Lytechinus pictus: one gene and its partner. The protein of the gene in region 1 purifies or fractionates together with the protein of each later gene. This does not show direct contact. Links are inferred from orthologs where the notes say so. Each region holds a gene or a part of one and is shown in the gene's direction. Other genes may lie near its edges. The genes, in order: leucine zipper transcription factor-like protein 1 and Bardet-Biedl syndrome 7 protein homolog.

Evidence for each region.
Region 2: the proteins of leucine zipper transcription factor-like protein 1 (region 1) and Bardet-Biedl syndrome 7 protein homolog purify together in Homo sapiens (affinity purification with mass spectrometry; 3 studies listed by BioGRID and IntAct, counting the BioPlex papers as one, with this or other methods). This does not show direct contact. The link is inferred for Lytechinus pictus from reciprocal best matches to the Homo sapiens genes LZTFL1 and BBS7.

What each region holds. Positions count from the first base shown.
Region 1 is NC_087247.1:43,265,896-43,276,450, reverse strand, and holds the start of leucine zipper transcription factor-like protein 1, read left to right. Parts: upstream 1-5,381; 5' UTR 5,382-5,838; coding exon 5,839-5,841; intron 5,842-10,555. UniProt on the Homo sapiens protein: Regulates ciliary localization of the BBSome complex. Together with the BBSome complex, controls SMO ciliary trafficking and contributes to the sonic hedgehog (SHH) pathway regulation. May play a role in neurite outgrowth. May have tumor suppressor function.
Region 2 is NW_026974140.1:10,646,257-10,656,811, forward strand, and holds the start of Bardet-Biedl syndrome 7 protein homolog, read left to right. Parts: upstream 1-4,392; 5' UTR 4,393-4,479; intron 4,480-6,197; coding exon of another isoform or gene 6,198-7,472; intron 7,473-10,555. Other genes in the region: uncharacterized protein LOC129265491, read right to left, coding at 6,198-7,472.

The sequences.
Region 1 (10,555 bases):
CTACTGTTTAAACTTTTTAAACAACTGTTTTAACTTTTAAGCAACTTTTTAAACAAGTTATTTAAAAGGTTTAAACAATTACAAAAAAAGTTTAAACAATAGTTCAATGTTGGGTAAATAGGCCCGTATAGCCAGGATTTTTTTTGCGGTGGGGTTCCGAATCATAAAAAGTGGACCTTTCTAGTTTATGATCAGGCCCTTTATGCGGATCCGTTAGTTGCGGATCCAGCTTTCCCCAATATATTTTATACAGTGCGTATATAAAAAAAAAACGGGACAGATTTGAAAAGTCTATAAATTTTTTTTTTCCAAATTATGATGTCTATATTTTAGTGCAATATAGGTGCTCTGAAGTCTCATCTTTCAAATGCTGTTAAAAATATTAGTTTCGTTCATGCTTGTGCAAACACGGAATGTTTTTGTCTGGGGCTAAAAAGGAGGCTTGCGCCAAAATGGCATAAAAATTAATGATAAATATGATGATCGCACTTCTTGCTAATCAGCAGACTTCCTCTGAACCTTTTCATTATCTTTGCCATAATTTTCGAATTATGCGGTCAAAATTCATTTTCAAATCTGTTTATTTGCTTAAGTTGTTCTCTTGCTGTTACTCTTTAATATGTTCTCTTTTAGTTTTGAATATTCCTTCTTTGAGCAAAAACAAACATTTTTCAACCGAAGTATGGGCATGATGGGAGAGCGTGTATTTTTTTCAAATCCTTTCATTGTGTGCTACAAAGGTTATGGTGCCTTTGAACAGTGGCATGCAGATGGGTGGGGCTCGGGGTGCCCCCCCCCCCTTCAAAAAAAATAAAAATGTGGAAAGAAAATAAAAGGAAAGATAGGAAGTGAAATATGATTTATTTTCTGAATATTATGTCAAAATCTATCACAAAATTTGATATTTTAATAAAAAAGTGGAAATTTCTGCTTGCTCGCTTCGATCTCTCACAACTTTTTAAAACATTTTATCCGATCTGCCATATCTAGCTCCTTCCAAATCGACTCAATACACCATTGCCATTGAAAGCCCATGAATCTTTTTCCGTTTGTCCTGTCAAGCACATAATTAAACTTGGTGAAGGGCTCAATAACCCCTTGAAAATATAGGATTCATGTTTTAAAGGTACCATAACACAATTCGTTTCACATAAAAAAAAGATTTGAATAATTACAAGTTTTCCAATTAATAATGCAAAGCTTCTTGCTTCAGTTGACAAAAGTCTTCTTTTCTTACTTATGAAGGAAAATTCAAAGGCAAAAGAAGTTTAAATGAAAAAACAAAACAATTCAAGCAAATAAATAAATTTGACAGCATAATTCGAAAACCGTGGCAAAGATAAAAAAAGGAAGTCTGCTGATTAGCAAAAAGTCTGATCATCAAATATTTCATTTCTGCTATTTTGGCGCAAGCCTCCTTTAGAACTCCGGATAAAAAACGTACCGTGTTCGCTCAAGCATGAACAAAATTTATATTTTTAAATGACATTTCAAAGATAAGATTTAAGAGCATCTATTAACATCAAAATATAGATGTCATAATTTGAAAAAAAAAATTATAGTCTTTTCAAAACTGTCCCGTTTCTTTTATACGCACTGTTTAAGGGATCGAGGCGGAAAAACATTTTATCCACACTTTTTCCGATCGGCAGCTGAAAACTAACTAAAGGCTGAAATTTTAAGTACATCTTAACTTTTTTTAACGAACAATATAAGGTATCCCAAAAAGCATAAATAACAAATATTGGAAGTGCGAAGCGCGAGCCAAATTTTTTATAATGACCTAACGAAAGGGACCTGTCAAGGACTGTTTGCAGTTTTACATTCTGACCTGAAAAGTTGTCATTCTATTTATGCACTTTTTGTAGCCATGATCAGGATGGGTAGGCCTATCTAACTAACAACTGATGAGAGCGCGAAGCGCGAGGTGAAATTTTTGATATTCAAATCTGAAAACTGTATTTTAAGCACGTCTATAAATAAAGAACAAGTTTTTCTCAAATCATTGCGAGTGTGAGGTATGAAATAGTTGACATTGTTTTATACATGGTGAGCGCTGTATAGAGTCTAGAGAAATTATAAAGAAGATATTGATGTTACTAAATGAGAGTGCGAAGCGTGAGGGGATTTTTGATTTGGGGGGAACGATTTAGACCTAAAAACGGGACACTATATATCAGCACCTTTTGTAATCATGTATAGGAAGAGCTAGCATCTATAACTAAACAATGCGAATGCAAAACGCTAAAATGTTTGATACAGGCCTAAATCATTCTCTCAGGCGTTTCTTAATTTCTCTTCCTCATTATTTCCCTCCTCCTCCTCCTCCTCCTTCTTCTTCCTTTAATCTGAAGTTCCCCTATAGTCTTATAAGTCCTTCTTCTTCTTCTTTTTCTTCCTTAATTCTTCTTCTTCTTCTTCTTCTAGTCTTATAAGTTCTTCTCTTGGTTTTTTTTCTTATTATTATTATTATCATTATTAAAAAGCGAATAAAATAAAATTTGGGGGCATTAGCACCGTACTCAGCTATATAGCTAATTGCTATCATACTCATAGAGATAGTGGACTACACTGAAGTAATATCACAGTAAAATATTTCTATCCTTGCTATACAGTTTTTACATCGCGCGCCCACGACGAGCTCACGCTGGTGTTATAGCCGAATTGACCCGGGCAGTCGATTGGTACAGGCAGAACTAATCGGCGGCTCTTTTATCCGCCGATTTGTTCCGGAAATTGTTGGATGGTGCGATAGCCGATTTGTTCCGAACAAGCGATCAGTTTCGATCCGCCGTTAACACCCCTATAGGAAAATGTGATATTCTAGTCATCATTTTCAACCAATAATATTGGCTCCTTCAAATCAACATCACCAATAGAACGGCACATTGCCGATTTGAGAATCTTACTGAATTTATGAATAGACCAGTTCGGAGTTACCTCATGGGCAATTTTGGTCAAACGACCTTTCATTAATTATTTCATTATGATAGGCAGATTTCAAAGCATAAATAGGGAAAGTGGAAGGAAAGCGGGAAAAAAGAAGGAAAGAAGAACAATATCCTGAAATACTAATTAGCATGATAAGCATGGGGGGAATCCACGGAAATATTTCCGTGGGGAATCAACGACACGGGCAAGAATGGCGATAAGAGAAGGAGGCAAAAAGGAAAAGGAAATGAAGGTAGAGTCAAAAGATAATTTGGAAAATCAGAATAATAAGCGACAAGAAAACAATAGAAGAATTTTTTATTGAATAACACGACCAGGCTGCCGAGGATTGAAAAATTTAAAGAACGGGAAGAAAGATGGATGGCGTAATTGTGTATGTATAGTCTATATCATAAACTTGGTATTTTTGCAATAATGGTCGCAATCAGAAAAAAATCCCTAGCCAAGTGTTAGTTATATCCCCCTATATTGTGTCCTAACCTATAAGTAAAGCTTTACGCTGGCTAGATTTATCGCGAAAAGCCTCTTAATGTATACTTTGGCTAAATTTCCAAAACTGCTATCACATAATGAGTATTTCATTACAAAATAATTTCAAAAGGCCAATTTTTTCTGGCTCTCTTCGGTCGCTCGCGACTTTTTACAAATGTTACCACATTGCTATTATGTTGTGTTGCCTCAAATTATTTCGTTTTTTTTATCCGCAACTGCGTTAAAGTTATGTGTTGTTGTGCATACGGTATACCCGCGATTGGATAAAAAATGGCCATCTGCAATGTTTTAAAAATATTACGAAGTTCCGGGAGCTCCGCCCCGAAACAGTGGCGGCACCAATGGGGGGGGGGGGCACAGGGGGCATTTGCCCCCCCGTGAGTTGGCCTCCCACTTGCCCCTCCCCATAAATTTTAAAAACTAAAAACTATAAAACTAAAATAATGTCATAAGCATCCTACTAAAGCTGTAAAGTGATCCAAAACCGCATTTTCGTTCTTTTAATTTTGAAAATGTGCTTATCCATTCACTGTATAGCTCCCAACAATATTTCGTCACTAAAACTTTAACATTTCGCTACCGCTACGCGCTCGCAGTAATTGTTGCCTGAGATAAGTAAATTATCTGTTCACATGAGGCTTAAAAATCCAGTGTCCGCCACCCCAAGTCAATAGGGCCTATGCTTTTCGCGATTAGAGTTTTCATTATTGGTTTTAGCGAGATACACATCCTGCGTATTAGTAATTTTTATAATTTTCTGCTCGCGCTAGCATCAATTGTTTAGTTAGATAACCATCCAGTTCATGATTACGAAAAGTGCGGCTTAGAACGTCCAGTTATCATCACAGGATATCCAAAATTTTCAGCTCGCGCTTCGCGCTGATTGATTGATTGATTGATTGATTGATTTTATTCGTCAAGAATATCACAGGAGATTACAATAAAATTGAAGAATACCTTGACAGGATAGCCCATGAAAGCCGAAAGGCTTATTTCCAATGGGGTCCTATAGTTAGTATAAAACATTAACATATTGTAACAAAAAGTATAAACTACGACAAGTACTGGAATATGGTTTTAAAACAATAATAATGAAATACATACATACATATCCATCAGTCAAATAATATGCAAACATCTGAAGCAAACAACAATCCTCCTAATATATGAAACAAGATTATATTTCAACATACCCTACATTATCTACAATACTAGAAACTAACTGTACAAAATGTTTGGTTTTTACTGGTTATATTGCTCTCGGGTAGCTTCCAGTTTTAGGTGCTTCTTTAATGCTCGCATTATATATTTGGTGAGATATCATTTTCATGACCCAATGCAAAAGTCCTATACTATAATAGTTCCCTTTTCAAGTCAGTGGGGCCTATTTAAAAAATAGCTTTGTGAAATAGGCGAAAAAGTATTGCCCCCCAAATGTTCTTTTGCCCCCCCCCGGCCCCTAAATTAGAAATCATGATGCCGCCATTACCCCGATCCGCATGCACCAAAAGTTCTAACTTACAACCGAGAACAACGTACAAAGAAAAGAGGACAGAAAAGGAACATCACGTCAATAATTATACTTATAAATAATTATACTTACTACCTTCGAAAATTTTGACAAATGTGGAATCAAACGGCGGCTCTCCTTTCGTATCGGCCAAAATTTGAATCAGTCTTTAGGATTTGGCCAGGAATTTGGCAGGCCCGATCGACTAGCCGTTTGGTACTAGCGCAGAGCTTCCACTTTTCAATACAAAATCGAGTCCTTGAATTTATTCTGAAAGTTCCTGGAATTTCACAAAATATCCCTGAATTTTACAGATGTTGTCCAGTCTCCCATAAAATGTTAAACTTCTCTTCTATACACAAAAAAGATGACGCATAGGGCCCAGTGCCGTACCGTATTCTTATGAGCCAACAAATTTTGAGGGGGCAAAACTGAGCCGAAATATGCATGGCGTACCGTACGTATCAGGCAAAAAAATTGCGAGCGAGCAAAAAATTTGTCATTACAAAGATCCAATTTTAGATAGATTTTGACATAATATTCAGAAAAATGATATGATTCCTGGAAAAGACAACTTCCCGGAAAGCTTCCCTGAATTTCCTGGATTTCGGGAAGAGTGGAAATAAGCACTGTACTGGTGGGAACAATTGATCAGCTAGCCATTTTGGAGCGCACAGCTCCGGACTATTCGGCGACCACACCGGCCGCACGCACTCGACATCGCGCGTACTATCGTTACCAAAGATCGTTACCCTGGTTTGGAGTAAACTGAAGTCTGAATTATTTTTCTGCGTATGCCTACAAATACTTTCAGCTCGTTTTAACTCTTCTCTTTGTCTCTTCAGATTGCTGATAAAACTACAGTACCGTTGCTGAACTGAATAATGGTAAATATGACTCATAATATACGGTACCGTACCGTACGGGTACTTGGCTGCAACTTCTTTTTGCCCAGTTTTCAGTTGCCGCGATGGGATTGCACCGCCCCCCTGCCAGCACCCTGCCCTGAGCTTCGGCCGCTAGTGCGAGCCGCCTTCGCTTGCGAATTAAGGCTTTGCTGCGGCAGCGTCATACTCATATTCATAACCACCCATGGGTGCATTTAATACTGCCGCCATGTACTGGAAAATTGAAGGCACGGCGCATGCAAAATTGTAACAAACTCCTGCTAATTTCACACAAAAATTGGAAAACTAAGTAGGATGGGGGATCGGGTGTCCGGACACTTTATATTAGGGTGTCTGGAGAAAAAAATTATTTTTCTTATTTCAAGAAAATATCACATTTTCTTTGTGAATTTGAAGAGAAATTACCTTCAGACTGACAGAAATGTAAAAATTTTGAAAAAAATCCAATTATTGGCTGCAAAAAAGAAGAATGAAATTAGGTAAATTTTCAGCATTTCTCTGCCATAGACTGTGTAGTTAAGAAATGGACACACACAAATCCAAATATTTAGCTTCCGAGAGCTGTTATAAATTTATTATTAATGCCAAAAACTTGTCCATAAAGAGTCCAATAGGATTTTTTATGCTCTATCTGATGGTATGATTTTCATAAAGATTTGGAAACCAGATCACAATGAAAAATTGCGACAAAGTGAAAAAAATTGTGCAAAACAGAAATTTCATTTTCCCATAGAAAACGCATGGAGAAATGGCAATCTCAACACACACAAAAATAAGGGTTTGCAATTTATCTCTAAATCCTTATTTAAAATGATCATATAAACTTGTCCTTACTGTCAAAAGATGCCCCTGAATTTTCTCTTTCCATACATGCCAAACACAAGTTAATAATCAATTCAGATCACATTTTTCTAGTAGCCTGAACTTCCCTGAAAAAATGTGCCATATTTTCCCCTAAATTAGCCTGTTTTATGCTGACACTTTTCAGTGTGGCTTCAGACACCCTATTTATATTTTTGAAGCCTTCTTTTTTGTCTTAAGATTACACTAAAAATATTAATTCAATAGTTGTAATCATCTTCTATTTTGTTCTCTATAATATTTTCTAAAATTTTGTACTAAAATTTGATGAAACTTCGCTTGTAATTTTTTCCAAATGACTTTCTAAAATTGATCGTCCGGACACACAACCTGTCCGGACACACAACAACTGGGTATACCGGTAGGCCTAGGCCTACTTCTAAGAAACTTACCGAACGATGTGAAGTCATAATGAATGTCCCTCAAAGTCAAATAGCATCATTTAAGGACGTTCCGGTTCCACAGTTATTATGTTTGTGCGCATCATGATCTGCGCATATTTTACACTCTGCGCGCTGACGTCACAATGGATGAACTGGTGATTATCAGCTGTAGGAATTGTGAGCTGATTTTTCTCCTTAGCACTACTGCAGATCCGATGTGTTATTTTATGAAGCTAATATAAGTAATAAACTGCAATTCCTCCATGTACCATTTTTTCTATTCTACAATTTAAAAATATTTTCTTTGTAGTGCTGCAAAGTGTGATGAATATGACCCCGAGTTTGAATAATGGAAAAGAAGTTCGGAATTTTTCCTCACATAGATACAAAGCTTTAGGCGCCTTTTCGGGTGTTTTAAGAAGCAAATTTGCTCTAATAAGAGTGCTGATAGTTTGAAAACCAGCACATGAACCCATATATTTTAATGTTTGCACCTCTATAGGTATACCTTCCTTTACATTTTTTTACAACTTTGCAAAGTTTGGTGTAAATGACATGGGTTTTGAATAAAGTGCATGCAGCATTTCTTTTACTTCTCAAGTTTGTTATTGAAATTTGAAATTTTTGAGGTTGAGTATCAATCCCGCAATTTCTAAGAACTGAGAGTGTTGTTAGACTTAAATGAGCAAACAATTGACAACAATATAAATAGATTATCCATCTTACGGATACAATTATTAATCACATTGCAAAATTCGATGAAATTTTCATGAATTTTGACTGAGTAATAGAGCTTTAAATTCATTGTTGTGACCTCGTGAGGTCCAAAAATGCCAAATTCTTTTGAATGCGCAATTCTTAAGAACATCATCCATGTTGGGTTAAATTTGAAGCTCTATAGCAGAAAATCAAGCACATGGACCCATGTTAATTTTTAAATATTTAGGTGCTAAGGTATCTATGTGCAAAGTATGATGAAAATGACATGGATTTTCAATGTTTGGGAGCAAGACTACGGAACCATTTGCATTTTAGACGGTATTAACAGACTTTTGCTTGTTTTCGGTGCATTTTGGGCTGTTTCAATGCAACTCGAAATACTTCAGACACTGATAATTTGAAAAGGAGCACATTGACCCCATAGTCTAAATGTCTTAACTTCTTCAGAATATATTCCTCTACAAATCTAGAGAGTATGATGAAAATGACATGGATTTTGAATGTTTGGGAGCAGGACTAAGGAACCATTTGTATTGTAGACATTTTAGACGGTATTAGACTGTTGCCCGTTTTAGGCGCATTATAGACTGTTTCAAGCCGACTCGCAACACTTTAGACACTGATAGTTTAAAAACGAGCACATGGACCCCATGTTTTTGATATTTTAACGTCATCAGAATATATTCCTCTGCAAATCTAGAGATTATGATGAAAATGACATGGATTTTTAATGCTAGTGAGCAAAACTACGAAACCATTCGCATTTTAGACGGTATTAGACTTCTGCACGTTTTCGGCGCATTTAAGGTGGATTTCAATATTTTCAAGCCAACTCGCAACATTTTGGACACTGATAGATTAAAAACGAGCACATGGACCCCATATTTTTAATATTTTAATGCCTTTATAATATATTCCTCTACAAATCTAGAGAGTATGATAAAAATGACATGGATTTTTAATGTTAGGGAGCAAAATATGGAACCATTTGCATTTTAGAGGGTATTAAGAGACATTTGCATGTTTTGGGCGCATTTTCTGTGATTTTCATGCCAACTCGCATCACTTTGGACACTTATAGTTAAAAAACAAGCACATGAACCCCCAATTTTTAACTTCCCTACACCTTGGATATGCATTCCTCTACAATTTAGCCGAATTTGATGAAAATGACATGGATTTTGAAAAAAGTGCAGCTTACAAAATACTATTTTAATTTTTGAGTAGATTCACGTCTTTGAAGATTTGGTTTTTTACCTGAGTTTTTGCACCATTCTTGCCAAATGAGGGCGCTGCTGACTCAAAATAGATATAGTTTTACCAATTAAAGACTTTTTCTTACTTTGGTATACACTTTGTTATATATCTTGAAAATTTGATGAAGTTTGATGCGGTATCCACTGAGTAAAGATGATTTAAACTCATTTGGTGAATTTGTGAGGTCTAAGAGAGGCATAATTCTCTTGATTGCGCAAGATTGCATATCATTCAAATACGGCGACTTTGAAGACCCATAGAAAAAAAAATAAGCACATGAACCTCTATAATTTTTTGCACTTTCATAATGCATAGATACCAAAGTAATTCTCTGCAAAATTTGGTGAAAATGACATGGACTTCATTTTAACTGTGGAACGTACTTAAGCAATGATTTTTCTCCATGTTGACAAAATACGGACCCTCCGGAGGGGGGGGGGGGGCACTCAGTATATAATGCATAGTGGGTATGTGCCGCGGTGGGGACCCCCATTTTTACACTCAAATTTCCGTTCCATGGCATAGCATTTTTGTCTTATTGAGAAAAAGAACAAAGAAAGCCGCTCCAAAGCATAGCATTTTCTTCTTATCGAGAAAAAAGAAGAAAGAAATCTGCTCCAAAAGCTTCGCATATTTTCTGTTAGGCCGTTCCGGCTGCATTGATCTGCTACAGTGAGCCGCAATTTTGATGAAAAGCGGCCGCAGAGCGCTGTCCGACCATCGCCTCTGTGCTAGCGCACCCGGCGCTCGTGCCGCCGGGCTAGCTGCATGCACTTTCCATAGCCATAGGGATGCATACGCACTCACGCAGGCGACCCGTTCCAAGGACCCCCGTTTTCACAAACATTTGTAGTCTCTTAATTCTTTCTCACTTATTTATTAGTATTTCGGGATGATTTTAATTTTCTCACATTATGTTTTCCTTTCCTTTCTTTTCACTCTTTCCTCGCGTTTGACTTTCTTATATCTATATTCTTTCTTTCCCTTCATCTACTTTTCTCTTTTACCCTTTCCATTTTCCTTTCTTGCCCCCCCCCTCTTTTTCTTCTCATTCTTTCCCTTTCTCTCTTCTCTTCCCCTTTTCCATATGCAAAACTATGTACACTACAGCAGGGTGCGACATAAGCACTTGCCCGATTGCCCGGGGCAAGTAAAAGTTAGAGTCGGGCAAGTGTTTTGAAGCAAAGACAAAAACTGCTTGCCCGAATCGGGCAAGCAAAATTCTCATATGGAAATTATATTTTAGAAAGATTCCCCATATTTCACCATCAAAATAAAGAAACGAAAAAGAGTTCAAAGAAAAACAATATCATTAATTTCTTCTTTCAAAAAAGTTTATAATTCGAATTGCAAAATTTGCGCCATTTTCTGCAATAAACACACAGCTCAGAGACGTACACACACACACAGAATCAATGGCAGTCTAGCATACCTAGCGCCTAGTCCATGCAGCCGATGCATGTTGTTAAGTT
Region 2 (10,555 bases), on another chromosome or scaffold:
TGCAGCCAAGAGCGAAAAAATATGTTATGTACCCAGCCAGTGGCGTACCGTGGGTCACAGCATTGGGGGGGGGCACCAGCAAAAATTTTGAGTCACTTAGTGAGTGCGCGAAGCGCGCCCAGTTGCCAGGTATACTGACCTAATATAGACATTTTAAGGACAGTGCCATAAAACGGATATGTCTCTCACTGCTCAAATAATGCGAGCGCGAAGCGCGAGCTTAAATTTTTTGATATTAAGTCCTAAGAAGGGACATTATATAATCAATGATTTGTAATAATGATACGTACCTGTCTCGCTAAATAATGCGAGCGCGAAGCTGAAATTTTTGTAAATATTGACCCCCAAACAGAAAGATTTTAAGGACTATATTTTAGGAATCCATTAAGCGTATACACATCTCACCATAGTCATCTAATGCGAGTGCCAATAAGCGCTTGCTGATTCTGTTAGAATTACATCTAAACATGCACATAAAGCACTTGTAATCATGATTATCAGATTAATCATGATCAACATACCCATCTCACTAATCAAATCTTGCGAGCGCGAGCTGAAAATTTAGGAAATTCAGACCTGAAGAGGAGCATTTTAAGGCTTGTTTGAAGGAATACACGAAGACCATACGTAGTTCACTAACCAAATGATGCGAGCGCGAATATATTCTGATTAGAAAAAGGGACATTTTAAGGACTGATTCTAGGAATTCATGGAGAGCAGACATATTTCACCAATCCACTAATGCGAACGTAAGCACGGAGAGGAAATGTTTTATATTAAGACCATAAAATGGGGCAATCACTTTAAGTAGTCATGAAAAAGAAGCATACTATTGTACATAAAACAATAATAACTCGAAGTGCGAGGAAATATATTTGGCAGTTTGGTGCATATTGACTAGAAAACGGGAGGTTCTAGTATAACAGGATTATATATCTCGGTAAACAGACAATGTGAGCACCAGGAACAATGAAGACATAGGCCCCGAGCAAATTGTGTTTCATAAAGTTATGAAAAAAATGTTTCTTATGTACTATAACATAACATAATTATGAAATAATATAACATTATAATGAACAATAATGTCTTCTTTCCCACTACGTTTCTCTTCCTTTCTCCCTCTTTTTCTCCTTTTCCTCTTTTTTGGGGGGGTCAGCCGATTGGGGGGGGGGGCACGTGCCCCCCATGCCCCTCCGTTGTTACGCCACTGTACCCAGCTATTAATCCTCAAAACCATATTAATCTCTTTATATCTTCAACATTTACATTTCTCTTTGTAGCTGCTCTTTTTATATGATTAAGTTTAAATACCATGCTCATCGTACTGTTAAGAATTTGTAGACAAGCAATATACAAACAAGGATAATTTTTTTTTTTTTTTTAGAAATGAGATAAATTAAGTGGTGTCCTTTAATTTGCCATTGCCAGTATGCATGTAGGCATATTATTTAAAGGGATGGTCCAGGCTGGAGATATTTCTATCTAAATAAATAGAGTAAAATTCACAAAGCAAAATGCTGAAAATTTGATCGAAATCGGATAACAAATAACAAAGTTATTGAATTTTAAAGATTTGCATTATTCCGGTAAAACAGTTCTAGGCATGTCTTTATGAATATTTATTAGGTGGGTTGATGATGTCATATCCCCACTTGTTCTTCTGTATTTTATTATATGAAATTAGATTTATTTAAAATATTTCTACCAAGGAACAATTGGATTGACAACTGATTAAGCACATTAGTTATTTATTGCCGCAACTTATTTCATCATATTGAAGACACATCATGTACGCACGTATAAAATAACATTTATGATTTCATGTAATAAACTAAGAAAAAGGAAAGTGGGGGATGTGACATCATCAGCCCACCTAATGAATATTCATGACGATGTGCATATAACTGTTTTCACAATATATTGATAATCTTTAAAATTCAATAACTTTGTTATTTGTTATCCGATTTTGATGACATTTTCAGCATTTAGCTTTGTGAATTTTACTCTATTTATTTAGATAGAAATATTTACATGTACAGCCTGGACCATCCCTTTACAAATGGTACTGTACACTTAAAAGTGGATTATTTTCCTCAAGATTGTTTAAGGGTAAAATACATCGTTGCTAAGGTAAATAGTGTTGCTAGGCAATGGAATTGTGTCAGTAGATGATGGTAAATTCCTGAATACTGTTTAACAACCTATCATATGTTAATTTTCTCAATATTTTTACTCTACGGCACAACTTCCTCAGCACATTTGACCGAGATGAAGAGTGGTAACATAGCCGTTGCTAGGGAATATTGTTACTAGGCAACACATTTGTCTCCATGGAAGCTAAAAAATAGTCAGTTTGTTGAATGATTATTGAAAACGAGGTTGTAGGCTGCATCTAAATGATAATTGTGTCAGTATTATTGCTCATAATGAACTATTTTTACACAGATTTGTCCAGGGAGGAGAGTCGTTATCATAGTCGTTGCTATGGAAAATAGTCGTTGCTAGGCAATGAATTGGTATCCATGGGTAATGTGAAATGGTAATTTTGTTGTTGTTCTATTGAAGACAAGATACTGCATGTTAATTGATCAGGTATTATTAACTCAATCCACTTTTTTCACCACAAAATAGTATAAAGTATGTGACTTGTACGTACGTATATATCAATGTAGTCAAAATGAACAATAATATGGCGATTTGTACGATAGAAGGGGGTGTGTTAAGTAGAGCTTAGCACATTTATTTGAGGTTTGCAATAGTTAAAATGGGTTTTTTAGTTCTTTTTATTATTTTTCAATAATACTTTATAGAATTTCATTGGTGTAACTTATTAGGTTTAATCTAACCTAGTTAAAAAGTTAAAAGTTAGGTTTGAAATGGAAAAATAAGTGGTTTACTTAAGGAGCCAACTGGTTGCTAAGGAAAGTTATGTTGCTAGGCAACAATTTCTGAGAAAATGTTCATAAAATTCATGCTAAGTTGTTATTCAGTAATCCTTCTTACAATATAAAGTGGAACTATCCTTTAAAAATAAGAAAAAATACCTGATGATTTAAATTAAATAGTAAAAAATCAATATTCACGATAAATTTTCAATATGTATTTAAAATGGGCGTGGCTTAATCAAGGCCGGTTTCCATGGTGATGCTACACATTACGTCACTTTTAATGCCCAAATCCGAAAAATTCAGAAATTTTCCTTTAATTTGATGTATGATTTTGCTTTGATCCAGCCGGGGGGATTAAAGTCAATAAATAAGCCACTTTTTGGCTTCTGGCCGCTCACCTAATACAACAAGCAGTTCTGGCGCGTATGATCTGGAGAGATAAAGCGCCATCATATTCATTTATATACTACCACTTAACAAGTTTTACAGCTTGTTAGTTGGTTTCACCCTTTTTGTTTAAACAAAGCTCGTTCTTTATTCAAACATGTGCTGAAACTGATCAGTTTTTAGGTCAGAATGTCAAAAATTTCCACCTCGCACTGAGTAGGTAACCCTCCATAGCTGGATACACATCCTGCTTAGAATGCCAATCTTTCAACTCGGAATGTCAAAAATTTAGCTCGTGCTTCATTCGCGCTCGCATTGTTTGGTTGGAGAGATGCATATCTTGATCATGGTCTTTAAAAAAATGGATATAATGTTCAATAAATTTTTGGTGTGAATAAAGGAAATATCCAACAAATCGAGCTCGCATTTGCAATATTTTATTTATTTGTGTTCTGCAGTGGGCGGCCCTGACGATTAAAGATAATTTCTCCAATTATCAGGAAATAAGGGATTTGTATATGAATGGGGAAAACCTATGAATGGTATGATCTACTCGTGTGATAATTTTTATCTGATGCCGTAATTGTTTAATCAATTCCCAATGTATGTCCAAGCCTGATTTCTTTGCTTTTTTTTTTTACTCATCCCTGATCTCGGAGGCCGGCGTTTTTGGAACGACCCACATATTTTGGAATGCAATCACGTACGTGATTAGGCATCAAACAAGTCATGAAACATTTCCCATGTCTCATCTATATCGGTTTCTTCGAGAAACAATTCCCAAGGGGCGTAATGACTTGTGAATGTCCAACATCTGTTTTATCGTTTTATCGTTTTATCATAACGTTAGAGGAGATCGACGAAACTTCTTTACTGCAATTATACTTTTATCTTTATTTCGAAGGAAGTAACTGCGTTGTTATGATCACTGATATTTCGCATATACTGAGAATAACCTGAATCACTGTGATTTCATTTCTCACAAATATCATTTTCTATCAATTTGCAATGGTTTAGACAACTGAAAGAGCTAAATTAAGTCAATAACAAATATAATGATCATCTCCATATCCATGTTTAGTCGATCAACTACAGAGCTAGAGCTAGAGCTAGAGGGCAGCAAACGTCGAATTCCATATGAAAATTTTCCTTTGCAGAATTTGTGGAGCGTTCGTAGCAACGAATGCAGCAAATATTATTCAAGGTAATTGGATCTTATCATGTAATTTGTAACAGTTATATTTTATAGTGTTGTCTGTTTTTACATCTAACATTGTATGTATAAACTTTTAAGGTTTCTGGTTGTAATAGTGGCAGGTTGTGCAGCTATATAATTTCTACTTTCCATAGATTGACTTTGAGTTTGAGTTTGAGCTCAGTTTAGTCCCACATATTGAATGTAATGTAAGTCAGACGAATGTCGACTCGGTTATGGTGGTCCTAGTCCTAGACCTAGACAGCTGGCGCTGGCAGCCGTCTGTTTCGAGGAGTTTTTTTTATTTTTTACATTTTTTATTTCTCCTCATACACAGCTCGCTATCGTGCAGCCACCGTTAGGCCGATTAACAATGCAAAATCTGACGGGGCTCATCGATTTTTGTCTTTATTTCATAAATTAAAAAATAAAAAATATACAAAAAGAACTTTACCAAATTCCAAAATAAAGATTGTTATTCCGTTTTACTTTTAGCCTGAAATTCACCAAAACGGGGAATTAACAGTGACTTACTTCGGCTGCCGCGCAACTTCACTTCCCTGTTTTATCCGAACTTAATACATAAACATGGCCATTGAGTCCCTGTACAGATCGAGCTAGAACTTCGGTCTCTGACTCTGTATTTGGTGAGTGGAGCCAACAGAGTTCAGCGGAACAACCAACATAAAAGTGTGTTATGAGTTTTTGTCAGACGTGTATCAATCAGATATGATTATTTACGTCTGGGACTGACCTTTAACGTCACCATCCGAAAGACGTGACCAGGGCTCGAACCTCGAACCTCTGCATCAATTTGTAACTTCCCCGCATAGCTTGGATTACAGGCGCACGCCACAACGCCCAGCAAGAGACCGAAGCTTTTGGTCTATAGTATGGTGGTCCTAGCCTGGAGGCTTCTGGAGAGTAAAAGTATCTACTGTACGTCACTCGTCATCCCCGACCATTTTCCATACAGCAAAAGGTAGGGGATGGGACTAGAGGTATGTGAGGCGTACTCATAGACAAAATTTGTAAAATGTAAAAGTAAGAGAGTTTGACTTACCAGTCTTTCTCCCGAACCAAACATTGATCTTCCTTCCGTTGTTGCTGGAATTTATCTTGGACTCAACAATATATTGTCATTTATTCGAGGACTCTTCGAGAAATCGTCGGAATGTATGATGAAATTTGGTTGTTGTTTGAAGGTTTGCATGGTGGTATGTACAATCGCTGATGTGGTTTACGGTACACCATGTGAAGTGTAACTTGTAGAAACAGTGGATAGGAGAAGAGAAGAAATGGATAGGCGAGAAAGTGGAGATTTGAGAGTAGATTATTCTTTCTTGAAAGTAGTCCTGAAAAGGACTGTAAACCAGGAAAGATTGATGAGTTGAGAACAGCTTGAGTAGTAGAGCTAGTGAGGAGATGCTGGCTTGAGTCGGCGAGTAGAGATGATGAGTAGTAGAGAGACTCGACGTTTCGGGCAGGTTGACTGTCCGTCTTCAGGAGTGAGTGTTCGCTTGGCGTGCGGCGGTACTTATGGCGTTCGTGCGGACGTGGGGGAAAGCGCTGGGCCGGCGGTCACGGCGGGCGGACGTCGTAGGTGGCGCTCTGTGCGTGGGTCGGCGGTTTTTGGCGGGAAACGAGTTGGCGTGGTATGCGGACGCGGTGAGTAGACGGCGGGGTGAGTTACGGCGGCGGTGTGTGTCGGCGGCGTGGTAGGTACATCAGTGGTGGCGTTCCGTGCGTGTTGGTCGGCGGACTCGTCGGGTAGGCTTCGGCGGGATTGAGTGGGTGGCCTGGTGTACGGATGAGGTGTTGGGTCGTCGGCGGAGGTTGTAGCGAGGCGTCGGTGTCGGTGGCGTGTGCGTCGGCGAAGTTGCTGGTTGAGTTGGTGATTCGTTCAGACTGCTGTGTTGGGTAGGAGGGCTTGGTAGGGTGACGGTGGACGGCGAGTTGCTTGTGGAGTTGGTTGTGGATTGGTTGGAAGTTGGGTGGTGACGTAGGATTGGGTGCCAGATTGTGTTGATGTGGAGACCAGGGTCTTGAGGCACGGTGTTGTGTTGATGTATCTCAATGGCTTCCCTGACCCTTCTGGTATTCCAGTGCCGGATGTTGGTGATTAGGTGGCTCTTGTCCCAGTCTATGCTGTGATTTTCTTGTTGTGCGTGTTTGACGATGGCAGATCGGTCCCAGTCGCTGCGTCGGTGGTGGGTCTTGTGTTCCTTGAGTCTGGTGTCGAAGTCTCGGCCGGTTTCTCCAATGTAGACTTTGCCACAGTCGCAGGGGATCTTGTAGACGCCTGGTTGCTTGTTGGATGGGTGCTTGTCCTTATGAGAGTGCAGGATGGAGTGTAGCTTGCGGGAGGATTGGTGTCTGACGAGGATGTTGGCAGAGTGAAGGATGCGTTGTAGTCGGTGTGAAGTCTTGCCGATGTAGGGAAGTGTTATGGTGGCGATAGGCTTGGTTTCGGATGGGTTTTCGGTGCTGTTGGTGTTGGGTTGGTGGCTGGACGGTTGAGTGTTAATCCTTCTCCTGGGGTAATGGTTGATGGTGGTGAGTGCATTGGTCACGTGCTTGAGTTCCTGCTGTAAGTGTGCCTTGTCGCTTAGTTGGTGGGCTCGTCTGATGAGAGTGCGGGCGACTGATTGGTGGACGGATGGGTGGTGGTGTGAGCGGAAATTGAGGTAGCGGTCTGTGTGGGTGGGTTTCCGGTACACCTGGTGAGATGGGAATCCAGATGGTGTCTTGGTGATGCGAACGTCTAGAAAAGGGATTGAGTCGTCGCGTTGGGTCTCCATGGTGAACTTGATGCTGGGGTGCTGGTGGTTGAGGTGGTTGAGAAACTGGTGAAGGTCGGGTGTGCTGTGCGGCCAGATGACAAAGGTGTCGTCGACATAGCGGAGCCAGAGTGAAGGAGGTTTGTCCGCAGTCTTGAGTGCTTGGTGCTCGAAATGTTCCATGAAGATGTTAGCGATGATTGGTGAGAGAGGTGAACCCATGGCTGCTCCTTGTAGTTGTTTGTCAAATCTCCACTTTCTCGCCTATCCATTTCTTCTCTTCTCCTATCCACTGTTTCTACAACACTTCACATGGTGTACCGTAAACCACATCAGCGATGATGAAATTTGTCATGATCCTCAGCAGCGCATAGACTTCTACATAGAGGATGTAACGCGCCCTCTTGTGCTCAATTAAAGAAAGCTAACGGAAGCGACCACACCACTGTCCTCTACAGAGCTGTATAAAAATGCTTAGTATATATCTCTATGTTCTCACCACAGATACCTGTTTCCGGTGATGCTTCTATTTCGGATCTCCGAGATCCAGCGATAGTAGTCTCTTTCTCCCCTGACACACAATATTTTGTTATAATTATTTTATACATAAGAATAATTGTTGTAGCGCCATCAGCTTAGTTTATTCTATAATGAACTGTATCTTGTCGTATGGTGAAAGGAAATATGATGCCTTTTTTTTGGGGGGGGGGGTTATTGCTTCTTCTCTCGATCCCCCGATCCCTCTCTTTTATTGAGTATTATCATTGTAAGGGTTAATTATTAATATTATTATTTTGGTTTTCTATTATTTTTCATATTGTTATGGAATATTCATTTTCATCATCATATCACTTTTGTAAGCCCACATTTTGTACCGTCCTGAAATTAATATGGGTAAAGGGTGAAATGTGAAAAAAATGGAAGGGGCAAGAAACTCAAGACAAAGTGATAAAACAGAACATAATTACGTTCCAATTTTTTTTAATGAGTTTCTTTTATTTATCCAGGATGGGGAGCACATCAGGCTCGTGCCCACCCCCTCGAAAGCCATAGAACACATTTATTTTGCATCCATTTTGTTTGATAATTTGTATAAATTGTTAATTTCATTTGATTGTAATCCTTTATGTTTGGATTTGAAATCAATTAAATTAACTTGAAACTTTCCCGCCCTCCCCCTTGAAAATTTTGATCTGCCCCTAGGCCTAAATAGGCCTTTGTGGTAAGAGATTTTTTTTTAATTTTTTTTTTTAATGAAAACCCTTTAGGTTTAGATTTTAAATCAATGAAAACAAACTTGAAACTTCATACTGTATAGCAAGCAGCTGTTATCATAATTGTGAAATTAATCGTTACATAAATCTCCTTCACGGGGGGGGGGGGGGAGCTTGTTATTTTTTTCTGTAAAAGAAACCACCCCCTCCCCCTTTGGAAAATCCTGGATTCTCCCCTGATTAGACCCACAGCAAAGTTCGTTATTCCGAACTTCTGTTACATCAATAATTCGGAAATTAATGCCTAACTTTGTAAAAATATTTCTATCGACAAGTTCATTAATCAGAAAAGAATAAGGGGCTTCTTCATCAAGAGTCCCATATTAAACAGAAAATTAACAAAATCGAAACAACTGAATTTCTCCTTTATTTTTTTATTTCATACAAAAATGTCTTATTTCATTTCAGTTTCACAACTACTAGTATCACTTTTGACTTTGTATCAATATGAAACAAAATTGCAAATTTGTCTTGATTGAGGCTATCAAGACTTCCTTACCAGAATGCATTACGAGCAAAGTTTCGTCGAAACCTCAACGGTCAGTGGTCCAAACGGGTTGATGAGCCTCTATGGTTTCGTGAGATCTTTTTTCTTTTTTGATTTGTCACTGTCGTACACCATAGACGTAATGGAGGCATTTGGATGAGGTTCAGGTTGAGAAATCGGTGAGTTTCTACTCATTTTTAATATCATATTTATTAATTCAAAGTCATATCCGTCAAAATAACATTTTACATCAACGGATCAGTTCAAGTATGAACTGATTCGCGATGCTTTGGGCAACGGATGGGGGGGGAAATGAGCAATTTTAACAATAGAGAGGTATACAGCCGAGAACGAGGTTATATTATAACCTCGTTCGTAGGATGAGTGCTGTACGTAGGCTTACTCTCCATTGAAGCCTGGCTCTGGTTACCATTAGTGCATTACTCTCTATATACTGTAGGTTTTCCCACGATGAAACTAGACCTAAATCAGACATTTTACTTATCGTTTTGAGCCCAAACTAACGTACATGGGCCAAAACAATATTTACCCCCCGAAATTGACAACGTTCCATATATTTATTCAATAAATAGTAGTAAATTTGAAAAATAATTAAGAGCACGAGCGTTTACTTACCCAGTCTGTTTTCGTCGCCATCTTGCCGCCTTTGTTATCGATACTTAATCACTTGTTTTAGGTATTCATTGTTTGTTCCTAGTTATTAGTGTGATTTGTTTTTCTCCTTTTTGACTGTTTATACTTTATTTGTTCTTTGTTTATTCCAGTATTATCTTTGTATGTTTGTCTTGATGTATTTTACATATATGTTGTTGATATGGACCTCTGCATATGCAGCTGTGTCTGGAATAAAGTCTTGAATTGAATTGAATTGATACCTAGATACCACACACGTGTAGAGCTGCCAACTTAGATTTTTTTAAATTCTTGCATCGGCCGATAAATATCATGAATCGTAAAATACTTGCATCGGTCGATAAATATAAAGGTCAATTTATGATTTATTTTTTCATTCACCAGAGTGCTCAAAAATTTTAATTTTGAGCATATTTTTTGTGTAGGCCCTTTATTGGTGGAAAGTAAAATTGCCAGAAAATTGTCTTAAAGGTCCCATGAAATACAGCAAAGATGCTGATTTATTCGTTAGCTTAGTGGTTACTACGATTCCATCAAAATTTTACCCGAAAAACATCCCACATCAGGTTCAAAGGCAGTTTTATATTGAAAATTGAGCAAAATTCGCTCCGCCCACAAAATTTCAGCCCAATTTGGTTTCGTATATCACGTGACAATTATGACGTCAGGGAAGGAAGCTGCTGAGCGTTGTTGACGTTTGGAGCGTGAAGTGCCTATTGTGGTTGCACGTGTGGATTCAAAGTAAATAAATTGAATTGCTGGAATAATATTCAGAACCTGAATCTTCAAAGTCTGAAGAATCAGATGCAGCTGATGACGATGCTGCAGCCATGATCAAAACCTCATAAAAATCTAAAAAATCCGTTCAGGATGAGCCCGGTCGAAACAGC